Linked DNA regions of Struthio camelus. The protein of the gene in region 1 interacts with the protein of each later gene in a pairwise test. Links are inferred from orthologs where the notes say so. Each region holds a gene or a part of one and is shown in the gene's direction. Other genes may lie near its edges.

Region 1 (7,101 bases):
TGCTTTCTATATGAAATCAAGTACTTCAAGGTATATTTAAGGTCTGTCAAATTCTGTTTAAAGTGATTGCCAAGCCTTCCCTTCATATATCCTACTATAAGCAGTTTAAAAATGTCTCTACAACCTAGGAGTTAAATATGTTTCTTTATATGTTTCTAAATATGTTTCTTGAGATACTTTCCCGCTTGCTGAGAAACATATTTAAAGTATAGTAGTTAGACAGTTGTATGCTGAGCTACTGCTAACCCATGACAACTGAGTTGTTGCACAGAGATGTGAACATAGAGTTAAGCGATTGTGGTAACACCATATGTAATCTCAACTCACGTAAGAATTCAAGCAGTAGCCTGCTCACAGAGCTCAAAACATCCATTTCTGTCCCAGATTACACAGAGCATTTGAGCCCAAAATCTTGTGGTACAAGGACGCGCTTCACAGGTTGCAACAAAGTTGAAGCTGACAGAGCACGTTACCCATCTCAGACACCCTGTTTTCCAAACATCACCATCTATCAGAGTATAGATAAAGTCTGAACCACAAACAGCTGAGGCACAGCTGGTTTCTGCAGAGTTACTAAGATATTTCCAAACACTGTCTCAGGTGTTGTAGGGTTTGTTAAACAAAGGGATTAAAGGAGGCAGCTGTACCTGGCAGTGCAGCTTAGCTTGAGTATACAGCAGGCAGCTTGCAATTCCCACCTGGGTCTGCCTTGCACATTACACAAAACCAGAAAGCAATCTCAAGTCCACGCTTCACACTATTTTCTCCTAAAATACTATTTGCCTATTTACACAAAGTTCCTCCAAGAGTTAACTGCAAAGGACCTGTGATTACAAGGACTGCACAAACATAACTTGGATATAGTGTGTGTGGGGGGGGGGAAGCTGGAAAGGGATCATGAGTCAAAACCTGCTGGCCCCAGAGTGCCTCTGCTCCAGCTTGCACAGAGCACCCAGGCTGCTCTCACTAGATGGCAACACGAGACCTAGCAACTAGCTGCTGCTCAGAGGTGTCCATCTCACACCTTCAGCCCTAATAGCCCTTTTACAATTTATAGTTTCAAAATTAAAAACAACAAACACAAAACAACTACAGTTTACCTTTTCTGCGAGCACGTCGGGCCAACCCATGCTCCTGGAAGATCTCACGGCACTGGCACATTCAGCGTTTCATCTCTCCAGATGAATTGGAGAAGCTTTCCCATGGGGCGAGGAGCACCCCTGGGGGAGCAGCCCCGGTGCCAGCTCCCCCAGCCCCTCGCTGGCTGGGCACCAGGGTGGTGAGCTGGGGCTCTGGTGCCACAGGCCTGAGCTCTCTCTCCCTGGCCTCACGCCTAGCTACGTTGCAGCCCAAAAGCCTCACCAGAGCAACCCCTCACTTAGAGTCCTCTTTTTTTCACCACGCAATTGCCTCCTCACGGCAGCCAAACTCTTTCACCCACCATTTTTAGCTCAAAGGAGAACATTTTAAACTCTTCCATCTTTTCACAACACTGCCACAGAGAGGCTTGAAATGCTGTAAAAGCCCCATCCAGCACAGGCCATTAGCCATTTTTACACTTTTCTGCCATGCACAGCTTCTCCACAGAGGATTCACTAAGGTCCCAAGTAAGGTAAGGAGGAAAAAAAAAAAATCCCCCACTCAAGGAAAAGAGCTGCACCACAGTCCTAGTTTTGAGGTAGCTATAATAAACACCTCCCATCAGAAATTCAAACTTGGAAACAGAAAAATATCTTGCTAGAGGTAGGGAGAGGAAAAAAAACACCCTCTCCTTCCTTCCCTCTCTCCCTCCCATCTCACTCTTCATTTGTAAGGCACAAGAAGAAAGCACAGCCCCACCGGGCTCACCTGCACCCAGCTGCTGAGACTTGGCCAATTAGGGGTTGTTAAGAGGCTCCAGCTGGGGAGAGCAGGAGTCCCCTAGGGACAAGGCCGTGTTGGTGCCCCTGGGGGGAGGAACAAGACCTCCTGTGACAGCTACAAATCTTAGTATTGAGCAGAAACGTACACTGAAATTAATCTTGACATTTCTAGGTCTTGCAATCACAGCGAGTGACAAAAGCAAATTCTGGATCAGAGTATTTGCTGCAGCAATTTAAACGTTTCTATTTTAAGGGACGACTGAGTTAAACAAAGGGGTGACAGCCTGTAAGTTGAAAGCAACAGTATGTGGTGTTCTAGGATTATGTTAAAATCAAGCAGGCAGAATGTCCTCCAAAATACATATTTTTAGTAAATCAAGGAGGGAAAGTGCTGCAGCTTTCCACAATCTCTGTGTTCAGTCACTGGCTTCGCTCCTTTAGGTTGAAATGACTAAACCACGGCTCCTGGGGGGTTGGTGGGCTGCGGCCTGGTGGGGGCTGGCCCTGGGAGGTGGCACCCAGAGCCCTCGCTTGGTGGGTGCTGCCACATGGGAAGCCCCCCTCGCCCATCCTAATGGGGCCAGGAGATGCCCTGGGGCCCTCTGCTGAGCTGTGTGCCCCCTGCCGCAAGCCCTCCTCCCCCATGACCTGCCCCCAGGTACTGGGGACTAGCAACAACGAGCAAAATAACTTCACCGTCCTGCAGGAGGTGTAAGGGTCAGTTCATTGAGGGGGAAATAATAAGGTAGGAAGTGAAAATTAAGCCATTCAGCGGAAAATATAGAGGAACGGTTTTTGCATTCATTCCCCTATGCTGGCATTTTGTCCAAGTACTATTATGGAGAAACTGCAGGGGGAACCAAGGACTTTGGTGGGGAATTTTCTTACTTGAGGGTAACTGACTCTTGCGAGCTATCCCACAGCAACCAGACGCAGGCTTGAGGTGAAACTTGAACCTTTGGTGAGCCTCCCTGCCAGGTTAGTTCATGCACTCCCTCAGTAGCAAATACAGCTTCGTCAGCCAGGTTTCTAGTTTTACAGCCTGGCTGCACGCTCAGCGAAACCGTGCTGCAAGGACACCCCGCTGGCCTCCGTTTACGGCCAAATCAGAAGAAACAGTGACACCTGCCGAAGAGAGAAACCACTTTCCCATGGCACCAGAGCCTGTTCTCAGGGGGCTGGAGCACAAAAAGTGCCCAAATTTGCCCCGGTTCAGGTGTGAACCAGGCACAGCTGCAGCTGGTGGCTCTGAAACAGTCAGCGAAAGAGCTCAGCAAATCTTGCTGTTGGCAGCTTTAAAATAAATCCACAAGCAAGGCTTGTGATTTCAGCAGTTTGGCACGGTTTCAGTTTTATCGGCCTTTGCCCCCTTTGCTTGAATCTTCATTATTAAGTACAAGACGTCAGCCCATCTGTGTGCAGGCGTGCTGAGGTACGGCCAGGTTATACGTGGGGCTAGCTGATTACTTCTGAATCAACATCCTCTCTGTAGGTTGTCAAAAAGCCCTTGACGCGTTATTTTCTGAGCAAGCTTGGCGCTGTACAGAGGCCGGCTTCCTTAAATTACATTTCCAGTCTGGCTGGCACACCTGACTGCAAGCGAGTGCTAAAACCCCAGGAATTAAAATCACCGCTGGCCACGCGAACATTGCTGCCAAAATCCTGGCGCTGAATCCGTACGCTCCGAGAGGGCACGGACTGAATTTGGGTGATGGGCAAGGCCCTCCGAGCGCCTTGGTTAAGGGCCAGCAGCAGCAGGCCTTGACACTCCCCTGCTCGGCCTCTTGGGGCCTGTTTCTTCCCTGCACGCAGGGTCCAGCGCCACTGCACTGAGGAGGACCCGACGAGCCACGAGCGGGCAGCGCAGCAGCACCGACGTCTATGGGAAACGGCGGGCAGCAGCGAGCCAACTTCCCGGTGTCCGGGGCAGTTTTCTTCAGGATAACGACGGTGCTCGCATATTTCACAAGCCACATTTTGTGAGGCCGGTGCGTGGCTCCAGCGCACGGCTCCGCGCCCCTCAGGACCCCCCTCAGGTGCCCAGAGCCAGACCCTGAGGCGGCGCCGCGCCGCTCCCAGCCGCTCCCAACCGGTCCCAGCCGGTCCGGGCCGCTCCGAGCCTGCCGCGCCGCGCAGTCCCCCAGCCCCGCAGGGGGCGCGCTAACCCTCGCGCCGCACCCCCCCCCCCCGCCCGCCCGGCGCTAGGACCCTGCGGAGCCGCGGCGGAAGCGGCTGCCCGCGGCGCGCGCGTCCATGGAGCCGGGCGGCTCGCGCCGCCTCAGGTACGAGGGGCCGCGAGGGCGGGACGGGCCTGAAAGGGGCGGTGCGCGCGCCTCCGCCCCCGGGGCCCTGACGGGGCGGGTGGGGGGTCCCGGGCGGGGGGAGGCGGCCGAGGCGGCGGCGGCGGCGGCGGGGGGGAGCGCACCGCAGCGCTCTGGGGCGGGTGGCTCTGCCCGGGCCCGGCCTGCAGGGAGGGCGCCGTCGGGGCGGGGGGTGAGGGGCGTTCGGCGGCCTGACGGCGCCCCCTCTGCCGCCCGCAGCACGGCGGAGCTGCTGGCCGCCCGCGCCCGCAAGGCCCCGCAGCGCTCGCACGGCCAGAAGGACTTCGCCCCCGACGGCTCCGAGGAGCAGGCGGAGAAGCTGCGCCGGTGCCGGGAGGAGCAATGGCAGCTGCTCTGCGAGGAGCGCGTCGAGCGGCTGTGAGTGTCTCCGGCGGCGGCGGCGGCGGAGCCCGGCGGCGGGGCTGAGGCGCGGAGCCAGTGCCTGCCCCGGCTGCTTTGCCGTTGGGCGTGGATCGCCCCGTTATTAACGGAGCTGGCTTAGTTCACGAGGACGGAGCTGATAACTGTGAACGCAGGGAACTCCCTCACGCCCTCGCTCGTAGCTCCCTAGCCGGAGCAGCAGCCGCCCCGGCTGTGCCCTCCGGGCAGAGGGTTACGCTGGTACGCCAGTGGCTTCCAGGGAGGCGTTCAGAAAGCTCCTCCAAGGGTCCCTAGTTTTCTCAGGCGCGTACGTAGTCCTTCAGTCCAGGTCTGCATGTGGCAGCTGCTGCCCGCAGATGCAGTTCAAGTTGTACAGCCCCTTGTTGATGCTCGTGTGTGTCTGTGGCCTTGTACGGATTTGGTTGACTCCCGGTGTCCCGGGTTTATCAGCTCTGGTAGATCCCACAGCACTACCAGTCTCTGAAGTTCAGTTATCAGTTCCTGGGAGACTTTCACACGCTCTCAGCACACGCTTTTCCTCTCTTTGGCCTGCTTTTTTTCTGGTAACTAGTTTCTCCATCCACACCAGTCAGTAGTTGCTAAAAAGCATTCAGGCAAACTCACACTGCAGGGACCTTTAGGATGTTGCTTTGAGAAAGGGGACCTCCAGCAGACAGGCAGGACAGACGGGGTGCACTGTTACCTTCCTTCCGCTGTGGTCAGAAGCAGATTTGTTTAAGTACGTGTGTAACTGCACGTTTGCGGCTGTGCTGGAAATTGTGGTACTGACCAAGGATTCAGAGCAAACCCATGGCAGGCCCCACAGGTCTCATCTCCTGCTTCCTTGATCCAGCCACCAAAAATGTGCGTCTTCAAAGTCACCCTGTGTTTCCTCTCTGCTAGTAAATTCTCCCTACAAGGCCGTGCACTTTGCTTTGTGGGTGGGATACAGCAATTTGAGACTCTGTCCTGGCAGCATCTGAACAATCTTGTATGATATACTATGGATCAGTTGGGGCCCCACGTCTCCAGCAGGCCTCTGTGTCTGTGGGCAGACATTTGTGGTGCTAGTTTTAAGACACTGTTAACCAGTTGGTGATAAAATCCTTAATGAATACTGCTAAATCCAGAGGATGAGGTCTTTCTGAGGCCTTGCTCTGTAAAAGTGCCAGCTGGAAGTCTGCTGCCTTTCGACACCTTCCTGCACTTGTTGCGTTGCTACCACAGGAGATGGTTGTGTTACATCTGCTGGTAATAACAAGCTAATCTTTAACCTTCTCAGGGGCAATCTGGTGAAAGCTGAGTGGAAGCCAGGACAGGGTATCGTGGAGCTGCAGTCCCCTGCGGTGAGTCTGCTGCAGAATGTCCTCAATACCTTCATCTCCAGCTGGCGATTGCAGACTCCTTCATCTGCTTCTTAAATGGGAGAGAGCCTGGCTGTCAGCAAAGAATGTCCACAGCCCATCACAGATTTGTGCTTTTGTTCCAGGGGAAGTTCTGGCACACCATGGGGTTCACAGAGCATGGCAAACAGTGCCTGCTGCCCGAGGAAGCTCTCTATCTGCTGGAGTGTGTAAGTAGGATGCCCGTGCGTGGATGGGGGCCCTGGGTTCTTCCTGAATAACTGAAGGAACTCTGGTAGCTGGACACTTTTAGAGTGAAGTCTGGAATCACTTGACAGATGTTGGTCACTCCTGCAGTTTGAGTAGCTGATAAACACCTGGTTCTCCTGGGACTGTCTCTTTTAGCCCGGTAGTTGATGGAGCTGTTTGCAGGCCATGGAGTATGTAGTACTCTAAAATGCTCTTTGTGTCCTTGACACTGGATGTCAGTTGGATCTGTGGCCAGGTTATCCAGCTGGTATCAAGTTGAACCCACTCCTATGTCAACATGACAACAGAATCTAGGAAGGTGTTTGGATGATCGGAATTTTTGTTACAATAACAGTGGTAAGTCAGCACTTTTATCAGAAGGAAGGAAGCGTAAGGAACGTACTTACCAAGTTTCCTGCTGAGATTTCTCTTCTTGCCTAGTGAGGGTGATAAAACACAGGTATTTATATATCAGTTACTACTTTACCCAAATCTGTGTATCAGGGCTTGGATTTCCACAATCTAGGAAGACTCAGTGTTCTGGGAATTTCTGGAAACCAGGTCACACCAGTATCTTACCGTCTCTTGCAGGGGTAAATTGGAAAAGATTTGACAATGAGAAATCTTTTTCCTCAGATATGGTATACTGGTAATGAGGACATAGGAGACTGGTCAGTGCCTGCTCTGTCATAAGTTGATTTCCTCCCTTATCCAACATATTTTACGTATTCTGCAGTAACAAGGTTCACAAGTTCGACAGCAGTCTGTTTTTCTGTACTTCTCTAAGAAGCTGACAAGAATTAGTAAAGCTAATGTGGCTGAGAGGGGAATGAGACCAAGTTGCTCTTCAGCGCTCCCCTGCTTGGAGAAATGTCTCTGGTAATTTGACAATAGATCATAAACAAACGATCATAAACAATAGATCATAAACAAATTGACTTGAAA
Region 2 (7,676 bases), on another chromosome or scaffold:
CGAGTCGTGGCGCTTCTACGAGGCCCGGCCCTGGGTGCTGAGCGGCAACGAGAGCCTCGACCTGCTGCGCATCAACAAGTGGGTGCGCGATGCCACCCAGGGGCGCCTGCCGCGCCTCCTCGACGAGCTGCCCCCCGACCCCCAGCTGGTGCTGCTCAGCGCTGTCTACTTCCAGGGTACGGCCTGGCCTGCCACTCCCGGGACCTGCCCTGGGACCTGCCCCGGGACCTGCCCCGGGACCTGCCCTGGGAACCTCCTCTGGGATCTACCCTGGGACCTGCTCTGGGGATCAGCCTTGGGATCTGCCCTGGGAACCTCCTCTGGGACCTGCCCTGGGACCTGCTCTGGGGCTTGGTCTTGGATCTGCCCTGGGACCTCCTCCGGGAGTCTGCTCTGGGACCTGCCCTGGGATCTGCCCTGGGACCTCCTCTGGGAGTCTGCTCTGGGACCTGCCCTGGGACCTGCCCTGGGACCTGCTCTGGGGCTTGGTCTTGGATCTGCCCTGGGACCTCCTCCGGGAGTCTCCTCTGGGACCTGCCCTGGGACCTGTCCTGGGACCTGCTCTGGGGATTGGCCTTGGGATCTGCCCTGGGATCTGCCCTGGGGATCTACTTTGTGACCTGCTCTGGTACCTGCCTTGGGATCTGCCCTGGGACCTGCTCTGGGAATCTGCTCTGGGACCTGCTCTGGGGCTTAGCCTTGGGATCTGCCCTGGGGACCTTCCCTGGAACCTCCTCTGGGAATCTGCTCTGGGACCTGCCCTGGGACCTGCTCCGGGGCTTGGCTCTGCCATTGGCCCTGGCATCCACCCTAGAGCCTGGCCTTGGGCGAGCTGCGGCCCGTGCGCGGCAAGTGTCCTCGGTGGCGCGGAGGTCCAACAAGGAGCCCCCCGCCCTGGGAGCCCCCCGCGGGCGCCCCCGCAGCCTCCCGTGGCCGCCCTGTCCCCACAGGCAAGTGGCAGACGCCGTTCCAGGTCAAGGACACCATGCCGCAGCCCTTCCTGCGCCCAGGGCGCCCGTCCGTTCTCGTCCCCACCATGACCAGCAAGAAGTACCCCGTGACCTCCTTCATCGAGCCCAGCCTGCGGGCCCAGGTATGGCCTCGCCTCCCGCAGGGCCTGCAGCAGCCATGCTGGGCCGTGACCTCATTTCCTGCAGAACCAAGCAGCGGCCATGCTAGGTTATGACCTCATTTCCTAAGGAGCCAAGCAGGGGCCATTCTGGGTTGTGACCTCACTTCTTGTGGAGTATAGCAGCAGCCATGCTGGGTCATGACCTCACTTCCCATAGAGCCCAGCAGCAGCAGCCATGCTGGGTCATGACCTCACTTCCCATAGAGCCCAGCAGCAGCAGCCATGCTGGGTCATGACCTCACTTCCTGTGGAGCCAACTAGCAGCCATGCTGGGTCATGACCTCACTTCCCATAGAGCCAACTAGCAGCCATGCTGGGTCATGACTTGGCTGCCTGTAGCAGCCCGCGGGGCAGGCAGCGGCCACGGCCGGCCGCCCCCTTGCAGAGCACCGCACTGCTGCTGGGGGACGCCAGCGCTGACGTCCATCCCTCCCGCAGGTGGGGCGGCTCCAGCTGAGCCAGGGCCTGAGCCTGGTGCTGCTGCTGCCGCAGGGCGCCCTGGGGGCGCTGGAGGCGCTGGAGCGGGCGCTCAGCCCCGCCGCCTTCCTCGCCCTCCTGCACAAGGCGGCCGCCATCCCGCCCCGGGCCACCGTGCTGGCCCTGCCCCGCTTCCGCCTCGACCTCTCCCAGGACGTCATGGCCATCGTCCATGAGATGGGTGAGTATGACCCCCCCCAACCTGCGAGGGGTCATTATTTTCTGGGGGGGGGAGGCATGACATCACTTCCCGTGCAGGAATTAGCCCGGCATGACATCACACCCTGTGCAGGAAGTGATGCCCCCTCCAGGAGGGGGCTGGCACCTCCCAGGCCCTTGACCCTGCATGGCCCCGTGCAGCTGCCCCCTCCCCTGTCCCTGGGGCCCCCCTTGTCCTCATCCCCCCTTGGTGCTCCTTGGTGGCCCACAGAGACCCTCCGTGTCCCAGGGTTCCTTGGTGCCCACAGCGTCCCCCCCAAGCCCTCCTGTCCCTTGATGTCCCCTAGTGCCCACGATGCCCCCCCGACTCTTCTATCTCTTGATGTCCTCCAGTGCCCATGGTGTCCCTCACCACCCTGATGCCCCCAATGTTCCCCCCTCCCCAACTCTTCTATCTCTTGATGTCCTCCAGTGCCCATGGTGTCTCTCAGCACCCTGGTGCCCCCAATGTCCCCCCTCGACTCTTCTATCTCTTGATGTCCTCCAGTGCCCATGGTGTCTCTCAGCACCCTGGTGCCCCCAATGTCCCCCCTCGACTCTTCTATCTCTTGATGTCCTCCAGTGCCCATGGTGTCCCTCAGCACCCTGGTGCCCCCAATGTTCCCCCCCCGACTCTTCTATCTCTTGATGTCTTCCAGTGCCCATGGTGTGCCCTCAGTATTCCTGGTGGCCCAATGTCCCCCAGCACCCCAGTGTCCACTGATGTCCCCCAGGGCCCACAACGTCCCAGGTTTCCCTTGCTGTCCCCCAGCAACCTGGTGTCCTCAGTGCTCCCAGTATCCCTGGTTTCCCCAGTGCCTCCTGGCATCTTGGTGTGTCCCCAGCATCCCCGGTGTCCCCGGGTGCCCCATGTGTCCCCCCCCCCCCGGTGTCCCCAGTGCCCCCGGAGTCCCCAGGTTCCCCAGTATCCTCCTGCGCTCCCCGGTGTCCCTGTGCCCCTGGGTCCCCCGGGGTCCCCCCGCCGCGCGGCGCCGCCTGACGCCCGTCCCCGCAGACTACGGGCTGTTCCTGGACGCGGAGCTGTGCGGGCTGGCGCGGGGGCAGGCGGTGGCGGTGGACACGGCGCGGCACCGGGCCGTGCTGGCGCTGGACGAGGCCGGCGTGGAGGCGGCGGCCGCCGTGGCCACCTCGCTGGCCCGCACCGCCCACGTCCTCGAGGCCCTGCGGCCCTTCCTCTTCGTGCTGTGGGACGACGCGCGCCGGCTCCCCCTCTTCATGGGCCGCCTCAGCGACCCCCGGCCCTGACGCCCGTCCCCCCCACCGGCACCCGGTTCCTCCGGCGCCCGTGGCCGGCCCTCCTGCCCGCCGCTTCCCTGCCTCCTTCCTCCCTCCCGCCCTCCTCCTCTGCCTCCTTCCTACCCTCCTCCTCCTCTCCCTCCTCTTTACCTTCCTCCCTCCCTCCTCCTCTGCCTCCTTCCCTCCCTTCCTCCTCCCTTCCTCCTCCTCTGCCCCTTCCCTCCCTCCCTCCTCCTCTGCCCCCTTCCCTCCCTGCCTCCCTCCTTCCTCCCTCCCTCCTCCTCTGCCTCCTTCCTACCCTCTTTCTTCCCCTCCCTCCTTTCCTTCCCTCCCTCCTTACTCCATTCCCACCTCCCCACCGCCTTCCTTCCCTCCCCCCTTCCCACCCTCCTCCTTCCTTCTCTCCCTTTCTTCCTCCTTCCCTCCCTCCTTCCCACCTGCCTCCTTCCCCTTCTCTCTCCCTTTCTTCCTACCTCCTCCCCTCCCTCCTCCCCTTCCTCCTCTCCCTCCTTCTTTCCCTCCTTCCTCCCTCCTTCCCACCCTCCTCCTCCTCCCCTCCCTCCTCCCCTTCCCACCCTCCTCCTCCCCTTCCTCCCTCCCTCCCCCCCCAGGGCCTCCATTTCCCTGCCCAGCCCCAATAAAGGCGCAGAGCCCCGGGGGCCACGCACGCCTGGCGCTTTCCTAGAAAAAAAGCCTTTATTCCTGGTACAAGGGTGGGCCGGGGTGGGCCGGGGTGGGGGGTGACGCCGCCGGGTCCTCACTCCCAGCCCTTCTCCTTCACCATGTGGGACGGGGAGAGGCGCCATGAGCGCCGGTGGGACAGCTTTTCGGGGAGCTGGTGGGCTCGGGGGGTGGGGTGGGGGGGCGGCACTCATCACGGATTTCCAGCCCAGGGTGGTCTTGCAGCAACAACAACAAAAAAAGGGGCGGGGGTCAAACGGGGAGCACCGTGCCCAGCACCCATCGCCCTCCTGCATCCCCCCCCCCGGCTGTTACCCCCCTACCCTGCTGCCGCCACCAGCTGAGACCGGCCCAGCTCATCACAGCAGTGGGTGTGTGGGTTGGGGGGGGGGAGGTGAAAGCGGACGGCCTCCCGGGGCCCCGTGCTCACCGTCTCGTCCCGGCGGCGGGGGGGGAGGGGTCGGAATCACGGTCCCCCTGACGTCACCGCCCGCGCTATGACGTCACCCCGTGCCATGACGTCACCGCGCGCCCGATGGCCCCGCGGCGCTGGCGGGACCCCACGCCCCGGCCGCACGCAAATCAAATGCAGATGAGACCCGGGGCAGGGAAGGGAGGGCGGCATGCAAATGGCATGCAAATGAGATGCAGATGAGCCCGGCGCCTTTCCCACGGGGCCGCGGGCACGTTCTAAGGAGATGCAAATGGCATGCCAAAGAACGCGTGACGCACGGCGCGCGCGGGGAGGGGGAGGTCCCAAGCCTGACATGCAAATATATGCAAATGAGCCGGGAGCGCGATCGGCCCCCGCGGGGCAGCGCCCTGGACTACGTCTCCCAGGGGGCGCCGCGCGCCGCCGCGCCTGCGCGCTGGGGGGGAAGGGGGCCGCGCGGCCGCCGAGGGGGACGCGTCACCCAGGAGGCGCCGCGCGCGGGTGCCCTGGCAACGCCCCCTCCGACTTGCCCCCTCATGGGTCCGGCGCGGGGTCGCCCGCGTGACCTCACTTCCGGCGCGGCCTAGAGACGCCCCCCCGCGGGGGCCGGAAGTGCGCCGGCTCCGCGAGCGCCCCGGTAAGAGGGTGGGGGGGGAGGCGCCGGGCCGGCCACGGGGGTGCCCCCCCCCCCGCGCCTGGGGCAGGGCGAGACCCCCGAGCCGGGCCGGGGTTGGGGCGGGGACCCCCTGGAGCGGGCCGGGGGAAGCCTGGGGGCCCCCTGGAGCGGGCCGGGGACTCGCAAGGCGAGTCGGGGCCCCCTAAGTGGACTGGGGTCCCCTGGAGCAGGCTGGAGACCCGCGAGTCGGGCAGGGGCCCCCTAAATGGGCCGAGGACCCCCCCCCGGAGCGGGCCAGGGATTCCCAAATCCGGCTGGAGGAGGGTCGGGGACGCTGAGGTGGTGCGGGCAGAGCTGGGGCTGGGTGGGGGGAAGGAGCAGGGGCAGCTCCCCCAGCAGGGCTGGGGAAGGAGCTGCCGTGCCCCGCCGCTGACAGCCTGCGCTGCCCCGCAGAGGGCCAAGCGATGGCGGACGATGGCGGCGACGAGAAGAAGCAGGTGGCCAAGTTCGAGCTGGAGCGGGAGACGGAGTTGCGGTTCGAGGTGGAGGCCTCGCAGACGGTGCAGCTGGAGCTGCTCACCGGCATGGCAGAGGTCTTCGGCACCGAGCTCACCCGCAACAAGAAGTTCACCTTCGACGCCGGCGCCAAGGTGGCCGTCTTCACCTGGCACGGCTGCACCGTGCAGCTCAGCGGGCGCACCGAGGTGGCCTACGTCTCCAAGGACACCCCCATGCTGCTCTACCTCAACACCCACACGGCCCTGGAGCAGATGCGCCGGCAGGCGGAGCGCGAGGACGAGCGGGGGCCCCGCGTCATGGTGGTGGGCCCCACGGACGTGGGCAAGTCGACCGTGTGCCGCCTGCTGCTGAACTACGCCGTGCGCCTGGGGCGCCGGCCCACCTTTGTGGAGCTGGACGTGGGCCAGGGCTCCGTCTCCATCCCCGGCACCATGGGGGCCCTCTACATTGAGCGCCCTGCCGACGTGGAGGAGGGCTTCTCCCTGCAGGCCCCGCTGGTTTATCACTTCGGCTCCACCACGCCTGGCACCAACATCAAGCTGTACAATAAGGTGAGTATGGGGGGGGGGCCCGGGGGGGGGTCTGGGAACGGTGCAGCCCTGCGGTAGGGCCCGGGCACGGGGCTGCACCGCTTTTGGAGGCTTTTGCAGGTTAAACCCTGAGCAACCTGATCTGGCTTGGTAGTCAGCCCTGTTTGGGGCAGGGCTAGGGCTAGGGCTAGAGCTCCCTTCCGCCTTACTTATTCTGGGAGACTCTGATCTGTTTTGCTGCTACGTAAAACCATGGTGCGCTTCAGTGTCGTGCCTGCTTCCGGGCGCTCCTGCTCAAGAAAGACGTTGTGAAGTTTGAGAAGGTGCAGAGAGGCGTAACTGTATCAAGGGGATGGAGTAGCTGTGTTAGGAGAGACTAAGAAGGCCGCAGCCTTTCAGTCCAGAGAGGAGAGGGCTGAGGGAGTCTGACGGGTTTACAAAATCGTACAGCTGCTAGGTGAGCCAAACGGGGAACTGTTAGTCACCGCAGCTTGCAACAGAGGAAATACGGGACGTCCGATGAAACCAGCTGGAAATTGGTTTAGAGCAAATAAAAACAAGCTCTTCTGTACACAGCTGTCACAGCAGGCTGCGGAGGCAGACAGAATCGGCGGGGTCAAGAGGGACTTAATGCATTCGTGGACAGCAGGCCCATAAATAGATGTGAAAAAGGGTGGGCAGAGATGTACTTTCTACCATCCCTACAGCTGCATGGGGAGCTGGGTAGAAATGGACTGCAGAAGGTGACCAGGCTCACATGTCCTCCTTTAAAAAAAAAAAAAAAAAGTGTCTGTCATTGCCAATGTCTCTTGCTGTTTGGGGATAGAAGCTTCTCAGTTGCTCCCCTGAGCCTTTTACCCAGTCAGGACCAATGTGGTCCTACTCACGTGCTGTGGCTTTGAGGATCTCAAAGGAGGCGGCAAGCGTAAGCACAGCAGGGGAGATATCTGGGATGCTGAAATACTGTGGTAGCCCAGCTGGGGAAAGCGTGGAGGGGTCAGAGTGCAGAGCAGCAACGGATCCCGTCTCCTCCCTGTTCCTCCTCTGCCAGAGAAGGTGTTGCCATCTTGTCTGCTCCGGGGCTCCTAATGGCAGCAGCCCTGAGAAGGGGGTACAGGTGGAAGGGGGATTCAGCTCCTGGCGTGCCCGAAGAGATCTCTCTGTCCTAATATTTCTGCCCTTTCTTCCTCACAGATCACATCCCGCCTGGCAGACGTCTTCAACCAGCGGTGTGAAGTGAACCGCCGAGCGTCGGTAAGCGGCTGCGTCATCAACACGTGCGGCTGGGTGAAGGGCTCGGGGTACCAGGCGCTGGTGCACGCCGCCTCTGCCTTCGAGGTGGACGTGGTGGTGGTGCTGGACCAAGAGCGGCTCTACAACGAGCTGAAGAGGGACCTGCCCCACTTTGTGCGCACGGTGCTGCTCCCCAAATCCGGTGGGGTGGTGGAGCGCTCCAAGGACTTCCGGCGGGAGTGCCGAGACGACCGCATCAGGGAGTATTTCTACGGCTTCCGGGGTTGCTTCTACCCCCACGCCTTTGACGTCAAGTTCTCTGACGTCAAGATCTACAAGGTGGGGGCTCCCACCATCCCGGACTCCTGCCTCCCCCTGGGCATGTCGCAGGAGGACAACCAGCTCAAGCTGGTGCCGGTGACGCCGGGGCGGGACATGGTGCACCACCTGCTGAGCGTCAGCATGGCCGACAGCCCCGACGACAACATCTCGGAGACGAGCGTGGCCGGCTTCATCGTGGTCACCGGCGTGGACCTGGAGCGCCAGGTCTTCACCGTGCTGTCGCCTGCCCCTCGCCCGCTGCCCAAGAACTTCCTCCTC
Region 3 (8,017 bases), on another chromosome or scaffold:
TGGGATGTCAGCTGGATCAAATGTCTCTGTAAGAATTCCTCATCGAAGTGTGTTTAAACTCCACGAATACAAAAGCATTTTCCATGCCTGAAGTAAGTATTTTTAATGTTCTCTTTTCTCATGCTATTCACTTTATTGCGGTCCACCTCGGGATTTCTGACATTATGGGATTTCTTACTGAGTTGATGCTTGGCCAATATTTGTCCAACGTCTCTTTTTTTGTCTCCTGTGAAAACCATCTGAAACTAAGCAGAAACTAACCTTGATTTATTTCTTTAATAAACAAAATGAAGATACCATATATTAATAAAAATGAAAAGTATTCCCTAGCTGTTTTTTTTCAAGTTTCCGAAAACAGTCCCATATCTCTGTCAAAGTTAATGCAACCAGAATTTCCATGGGAATTTCTGTCAGTCTGGGGAAACTGGAACTGGCTAATGTAAATAACTTCAGCCCATCCTCCAACTACTGTTCAAATCACCTTGTGAGAAAGGAATGGGCTTTATTTTAAAGAAAGTGTCATAACATTTCTCTTGTGGACTACAAGAAGCACGGCTTAAGAAAACTTTACAGAAACATTCTGTGGAAACCACAGAAAGAAATGAACCTAACGACAAATCCTGACTTCAATTCCATGGGATTTTATGCAAAACTTTTATTTCTTTTGTATGAAATCCAAAATTAACTAAAGACACTACTAGAATAGGTTATTTGTTTATAACCTTATGACTAACTTCCTTGAGAAGATACAAGAAAATGCTACATAGGCAAATAGTTTTACAGGCTTGCATTTCTGTTTCTTTTAATAAGGATAAGAACGTAAAATATGTACTTAAAGAGTACCTGGCCTGTATGTTTTGGCTCAGAGAGAACTGGGAATTAACCTCCCAAGTCCTTATAGAAGTCACCAAACATCCAGAAAACAACCACTTTTGATAACCAAACTCCTTAGCACTTGCCTGCATATGACAACTTAATTTTACTATCGGTGAGGTACAAGTGCCTGGGACTTCTTATTCATCAGATTGTTCCAAACCGCCAAGCTAAATGAAGTGATGAAAGGTAGACTCTTTGCAGCATAAAAAATACATAATATTAGCTGCTAAATATTAGTTAATATTAAATATTGGTTAATACAACATTAAATGAGCTCTCACTGTATTAACAGAACGTATTTCTTCTGTATGATTCCAGATGAACTTTGATATGACTGTTATTGGGGAAGGACACCATAAACTGCAGAAAGGCTGAGGGTACCTGACTGCAAACACTAAACCATGCAGATTAGGAAAGATCTTACTACATACATGGTCACAGAAAGAGTTTAATAAGCATGATATTGACAGCATGTCCTTCCACTGTAACTATTTTTCAGTTGTACTCCTCAACCACTGACTGTTGAGAGGTGGTTGAAGAAATTCTACGACCACATAGAGCAGGAGATAGCAACTTCTTCCACGAAACAAATATTGTTAGTACAAAGGGACTACTGTGTATGAACTGGCATGAGCGTCCCCAAAATGGGACAATTTTGTAGGAAATTCTGAGTATTACAATGTGAATAACAAGACATCGGGAGTCAGACAATGTACAACTGAAAATGACACAGGAAAGGCAATTGTATTAAAGTTTAAGGCAACGTATTTCTAGAACTGAAGGGTTACAAATGGTTTTTCTCATCATGGTTTGGAGAAAGGGTCATATCAGCCTTTTCAGAAGCCTGATATTGGTTTGGACCTTAATTCAAGAGAATAATTCAGATCAACAGAATAACTGAGTATGAGGAAATGGTAAGCAATAGAGTACTCTTTGCATTAGAAGCAATGATAAGCAACACACAAAAATGAAATAGTGTATTCTCAAAGACATTCAGAAATTGAAAGACTGTTAAATGGAAATCCAAAAGATGATTTAACAAAAGCTGGAGGCTTTCAGCCTCTCTAGAGCAGTATAGTTTTGTATTTTCTGCTGAACTGCAGAGAAATCAAATAAGCTCCTGGAATGAGGAATCCTGAAGACTCCCATAAAAGGGATCTTAAGACCTTTTAGGGCAGTCTCTTGTCTCAAGGCTGGATCAACTTTATCTGAACTGTTCTTGGAAGATGTTTGCCCAACTTGCTCTTAAAAATTTCCAATAAGGGGCCTAACACAACCTTTCTAGGTAAAGCCAGTTCTGATCTATCTTCATAGGTACAAAGTTGTTTCTTGTCTAACTTCAATCTCTCTTGTTGCCATTTAACCTCCTTGTTCCTACTATTATTTTGTAGTGGTCACGCAGAACAATGCATTTTGTCCCTCTTTGCAACGGTCTATTTTATCACTTCTACCTTTTCTAGCCTGAAAAAGTAGAGTTCTAGCCTGAGTTAGTTCAGTCTTTCCTCATAGATCACCCCTGTCACTCTTCTTGATTCTTTCCAATTGCTCTACATTTATCTTGAACTGTTCTTATAACTGGACCTATTACTTCAGTTGAGGTCCTCTCAGTGATGCACAGAACTGATGAATTGCTTCATATATCTTACACATGGCACTCCTGTATATAAGTTCTAGCATGATACCTTTTTTCAATTTGTTGACTCGGTCCCAATTTGTGATTCACTATAATCTTAAGGGTTTGTTTTTCAGAGCAATTGCCTGGTCATCTAGCTGCTGTTTAGCCTTTTGCTGTCTCACTATAAAAGGGAAATCCAGATATTTGTGAAAATGTCTGTACAACTATTGATACATTCAAAAAAAAAATACTGCCATGACTCAAAGAGAATTTGACCTTCAGATAGCAAAATTTCTGGTTGAAGAACAATCTGGGCTTATAATCAGAAAACAAATGGGAGCAGCTATGTAGTCTGCATATTTGTTTGAAGAAATATGAGTGTGATTCAATTAATTGACTGAATGGGGAATGCTGCGGTTTCCATCTCAAGGCTGTATGAAGATAATGAGATGTGGAGGAAGGCAACTGACCTATAGCTTTTTTATGTTGTGTCTACCTCTCATTGTAATGTACATCTCATTGCAGTATGTCTGCACAGCAAGAAAATATAGACATATCTATCCTAGATAAATTCTACTTTCATTTAAAGCAACTTGATTTGGCAAATCTACATGGAATTTTGAAATGAAGTGGCATATTTGATATTTGCTTATTTTCATGTTGTTACCTAGAATGCTTTAACTCACAGCTATTTTAATAGCAGAGCTCTAAGAATGAACCTGAAGTTATCAGAGCATTAATGTATACTTTGGGGACAAGAATGGAACAGGGTCCCTGTGGTTTAGCCTCAACACCTGGTAAATGAACTAACGTTCAAAACAAATTAACACTCACCAGACGGTACATGAAGTAGACCTCTGTAGGAAATAACTGTAAGAATACCAGCTTAGTATTCCCATGTTTTGCTGCTGATTTCCTTTGTGACATTGTAATCGTTACATCTCCCCCTGAGCCTCACAATTCTGTCTGTAAAACAGAAATAACAGAAACTCACTACCTCATAAGGGTGACGTAGTCTTACCATTTTTCATAGGTGAATTCACTGATCTATTGATAACCAGCCAATATAAAAATGAGACTAATGAAATCTCATCTACTAGGACTACATTTAATAATCAGAGATAATATGCTTGTTTCACACAGAAAATGTAGAAGTTTGAACTTTACGTTCACTGTGTTCCCAGATGTTTCTATTTCATGTTGAAACAAAAGTGTGAGAAATCTGTATGATAAATTCCATTTCTAAATGAGAAAAATAAACCTGTACTTTGAACTCAGATGACCTGGACACTGGTAACAACCAAAGCTTTGCAACTTCTCTGCACAGCCCAGATTTTTTGATTACTCCAGAAATGTGATGTGATTTTTGCATGAGTTCATTTTTCACCTGAGAGCCTAGCATCAAGTGAGAACGGAAAGGAGGCCTTCTGAGATTAAAATACACCGGAGAGCATATAGCCTGCTAAAGTAAAGGGAAATTATCCATAATGATAATAAATTATTGAGCTAGTCGATCCTCCTGGAACTAAAATTTCTTCATCCTCTTTTTTTAGTGGACCCTCACAATATAACCTCAAAATAAGAAAAAGATTTCTCAGTCGTAGTTGCATTTGTCATTATGATTTTGATTAACAAGGCCTAAACCGGCAACAGCTCACTGTTTATCACAACAGAAAAAGGGATGTCTGCTCTCACTTACTAGTGAGAATGCTTTTCATCTTATTCAGGTAAGATGCTTTTTTTTTTTTCTTTAATTATACTACCTTTTTGCCCTGAATTCAACTCTGGTAATAAGCTGCACAATCACAATCTCTGTTAAAGTTGTGTAAGTAGTATTGCATTATCCTAAGTAGTCACGAGTCACTGCAATGTCAAGGGTTTGTTACTCAGCCAAAAACAATTGCTTCAAGCTGAAAATGGTATCTTCCCCTCACCTCCCACGGCTGTAAAATTTCACCCACCCAGGTATCTCAAATGTCCCTCACTATGCAGCTCATCATTCGTTCCAGAATGGGTGTTCCATTCAAAAACGTCATTTCCTCTTCCTTTTATTGTTTTTAAATTGCCAGCACAGGACGGTTTGCGGGCTGCAGCCGTTACCGCAGTATCAAGGCTGGCAGCAGCTACAAACCCAGAGCTGTGGGGCAGAGGAGCCTGGGAACGCCCCCGCAGGGCCCAGGCCTTCCCTTTCTCACAGGGAACCTACTTCTGAGTCTCTCACGGGAGGTCTCTGCGCCAGGCCGGGGGCCCTGCGGGCCCTGAGGAACACCTCCCGCCCCCACGGCCGCGCGCCTCGGGGCAGAGGCCCGCAGCCCCCTCACAGCGCCGAGCCGCGCCGAAGCCGAACAGCGCGGCCGCCCCGCTCCCAGCCGGCCCCGCCGGCGCCTCCGCGCGACGAACACGCACCCAAAACCGCCTCCCACCGGCCAACCGCCGCCGCAACGGCCGCAGAGGGGGCGGGGCCGGGGCCGGGGGGCGGGCTCGGGCCCGGGCTCCGTGCGCACGCGCGGCCTGCCGGCGCCCGCCAGCCCGCGGCTCTCCTCGTGCGGCGGCGGCGGGTGCGTGCGTGCGGCAGGCGGTCACCGTGGCGACGGGCGTGCGTGCGTGCGGCGGCGGGCGGGCGCTATGGCGACGGGCGGGCGGAGGCGCGGCGGCCGCGGGGTCGGATCGGGCCGGGCCGGGTCGTGCCAGGCCGCGGGGCCCGCTCCCTGCCCGGCTGCCGAGCACCGCGCCCCGGGCGGGCCGCGCCGCGCGCTGCGTGGGCGGGTCGGTGTGGCTGTGGTTATCGGCTGACCTCCCGGCCCCGGGTGAGGGCGGCTCCCCCCGCCCCGAGCGGGCCGGTAAGGGTGGCGCTCACCACCGCGCGGTGCTCTCCTCGTGCCGTTTTGCGGCGTGCAGACGTAAAAAGGCGGCCCCGGCGGGTGCGCGTGTCACGGTGGCCTTTACCTGCCGCCCGGCTTGTCGGAAAGCCTCCTGCCGTGTCCCGTTCCCCTCTCTAGAGGGTTTGCCTCTTTAAAGAAGAAAAGCTTGCCCAGTCGCTGCTTTTTTTTTTCCAAATTCGTTCATGTAATTATTCAAAGCAGTTTTATGTTTAGGCGCTTGTGTGCTGTGGTTTCTGTTTATTCTCCTTGTTCTGCTGTTCACCTATGCTTTATTCCTGAAAACGCTTTCAGCTGCCTCTGTGTGCACCTGCCTTCGATCTTAAGTTCCCTCCTTGCCGAGGACTCTCCATACCTGCTCTTTAGAAGACCCTGCAATGCCAAAGAAAAGCAGAGTAGCGCATAACACTGTAGGAAGTTGTTCTGTTATGTTTGTCTGGCATAATAGTTCCAGAATTAAACTTGGATTATACTGTAGGCTTGTTGCTAATTTGCTGTTGAGGAGGAGATGTTGTTGAAACACGTAAAAGTGGGTGAACTGTAATTCTTGAACACTACATATGTTTTGTTTCTTTAGAAGAATAAATTTTTCTCCTCTTTAGAAGAAAATATTAGGAAATGGCAGAAGCTGTTTTCCAACCCCCAAGAAGGAAAAGAAGAACTTTTGAGTCATATGAATCTCCCTTTCCTGTGGATGTAGATGGCAAGGATTTCAGAATATACCAGGCTGAAATTATTAACAACAATGTTGTTGTGAGGAACCCTGAAGATATTGAACAGCTGTATAGCAAGGTGGTGTACCCTATTTGCACAATGTTTCTAGTGTTCTGCTCCATGTATGTTAAAAATACTCATTAAAATCGGCCTCCCTCTCTGCTTTCCTTCCCCTTTAGCCTCTAGTAATCCTCCATATCTCCTTCCTCTTCTGAAATAAATACCAAACATATATTCTGTATCAAATATGGAAAGTGTTTCATTTTTAGCCCAGTAAATATGTTTTGGAATGAAGTGGCATCATGATCTAAAAAACAGATGCAAAGACTTAATGTCTCTTATGTTTATTTATCCTGCTCATATTTTATACAACCTTGCAAAAGCATTTTCATGTTATTCAAGGTCAGGAGGTTGTAATATCAGTGTTTTAAATGTACTTATATAATTCTTTTAACTTCAGTGTGGTGTCTTGAGTAAAATAAGCTACATTAAGCCTTTACATCTAGGTACGTTTAATTACCTGTTGCCATTCTTATGCAATAACTTTATCCATACCTGTTTCCTATTACACATTGTCACAGTATTAATGCGCAGGTAGGGTGTTTTTTTTGGGGGGAGGGGGAGGGTGTTTTGCTTGGAGATTTAATCTTAAAGATATTTAGAATTGGGGGAAAAGACCTAAAGTCCTCCACTGGCTAAATATTTGAGTAGAAGTGTTTAATACTGGACTAGTTATCAGAAGCTAAGCAACAAGCTTTAGACCAAGTTTAGATGCTGCATGATTTCATTCTGTTTCAGTAAATCATGGTAGAAAAGGTTTGATCATTTGGAAAGACGTTTGTTTTTTTTATCTGATGATATAATAAAGATTTTTGTTTTCCTTTGAAGGGCTATTTTGGTAAAGGTATTCTTTCAAGAAGTCGACCAATGTACAGCGTTTCAGATCCTTTACTGATTACGAAGTGGCAAGGTAAATTGTACCCGTTTCTACTTTCCTCATTGTTCTAATAGTATTTTTTTTTATTTCTCCTTGTTTATTGAAGATGCAAAAATAATTTCTATACTGGGTCAAACCAAGGTTGTGTCTGTCCCCTTACCTTGTGTCTGATGATGGCCAGTACAAGATGCCTAGGTTTAAAAAAAAAAAAAAAAAAAAACAGGAAAGCAGAACTGATAACTCCTTAGTACATTCTCCATCCTACACTGATTTGCTGTTTGGGACCTTTGTAAGTCAAGGTAGCATCTTTGGACTTTTTTCCCAATAACTATCCATTTTTTTCTTGTTTCTGATCAGCAGTTTTTAGTGTCCTCAAAACTGTGCGGCAAGGGTATGTGAAATTTTGAATCTGCTAGTAAGTAATTACCTGTGATGTGCTCTTGTTCATGTATAGAAAGACTATCATTCCTTATCCATCTTCTCAATGACACTTTTAAGTCACCATAGACATGAATGGATTTTTACCATATCCTCCTGCAATTGTCTTTTTACAGGCTGGAAAAAAGTAGTGTATTTAGCTGTTCCTCTTCTGGAAGCTCTTTCATCTTTGTTACCTCTGTAGTTTTTCTAGTTCTGCTGTGTTCACGAGAATAGAAACGAAACCAAAATTGCATACAGTGTTGAAGATATGAATGCTTATTATGCCACAGAATATATCAATAGTTTTAAAAAGTTATATTAATGAAACAATATATGATTTTTTTTTTATAGGTACTAACATAAACCTGCCTATCATTGCATCAAAAAAGTAAGTTCATCTACATTTTTCTTTTTTTTTTTTTTTTTTTCCTTTGGAAGCATATGATTCTATTTTCTGTTTTATCAGACTGGTTTTCAGTGTTGGCTATACAGATGTGGATGACTTACTATTTATTTTCTTTGTTTTGTATTTATAAATCACATTAGGAAAAACTACAAATAGATGAGGTGGTATTT

The links.
Region 2: the proteins of TSEN54 (region 1) and CLP1 interact in binary tests that used the Homo sapiens proteins (3 or more experiments, as listed by UniProt). The link is inferred for Struthio camelus from reciprocal best matches to the Homo sapiens genes TSEN54 and CLP1.
Region 3: the proteins of TSEN54 (region 1) and TSEN2 interact in a two-hybrid assay, tested with the Homo sapiens proteins (2 studies listed by BioGRID and IntAct). The two-hybrid records come from large-scale screens. The link is inferred for Struthio camelus from reciprocal best matches to the Homo sapiens genes TSEN54 and TSEN2.

Annotation. Positions count from the first base shown.
Region 1 is NC_090960.1:8,480,346-8,487,446, forward strand, and holds the start of TSEN54 (tRNA-splicing endonuclease subunit Sen54), read left to right. Parts: upstream 1-4,059; 5' UTR 4,060-4,115; coding exon 4,116-4,144; intron 4,145-4,402; coding exon 4,403-4,561; intron 4,562-5,846; coding exon 5,847-5,910; intron 5,911-6,053; coding exon 6,054-6,137; intron 6,138-7,101.
Region 2 is NC_090946.1:7,501,668-7,509,343, reverse strand, and holds the start of CLP1 (polyribonucleotide 5'-hydroxyl-kinase Clp1), read left to right. Parts: upstream 1-4,656; 5' UTR 4,657-4,815; intron 4,816-5,247; 5' UTR 5,248-5,258; coding exon 5,259-5,864; intron 5,865-7,037; coding exon 7,038-7,676. Other genes in the region: SERPING1 (plasma protease C1 inhibitor), read left to right, coding at 1-176, 951-1,093, 1,571-1,790, 2,823-3,073. UniProt on the Homo sapiens protein: Polynucleotide kinase that can phosphorylate the 5'-hydroxyl groups of double-stranded RNA (dsRNA), single-stranded RNA (ssRNA), double-stranded DNA (dsDNA) and double-stranded DNA:RNA hybrids. dsRNA is phosphorylated more efficiently than dsDNA, and the RNA component of a DNA:RNA hybrid is phosphorylated more efficiently than the DNA component.
Region 3 is NC_090955.1:20,025,423-20,033,439, reverse strand, and holds the start of TSEN2 (tRNA-splicing endonuclease subunit Sen2), read left to right. Parts: upstream 1-4,940; 5' UTR 4,941-5,049; intron 5,050-5,074; exon of another isoform or gene 5,075-5,091; intron 5,092-5,149; exon of another isoform or gene 5,150-5,331; intron 5,332-5,947; exon of another isoform or gene 5,948-5,972; 5' UTR 5,973-5,988; coding exon 5,989-6,162; intron 6,163-6,972; coding exon 6,973-7,054; intron 7,055-7,792; coding exon 7,793-7,829; intron 7,830-8,017.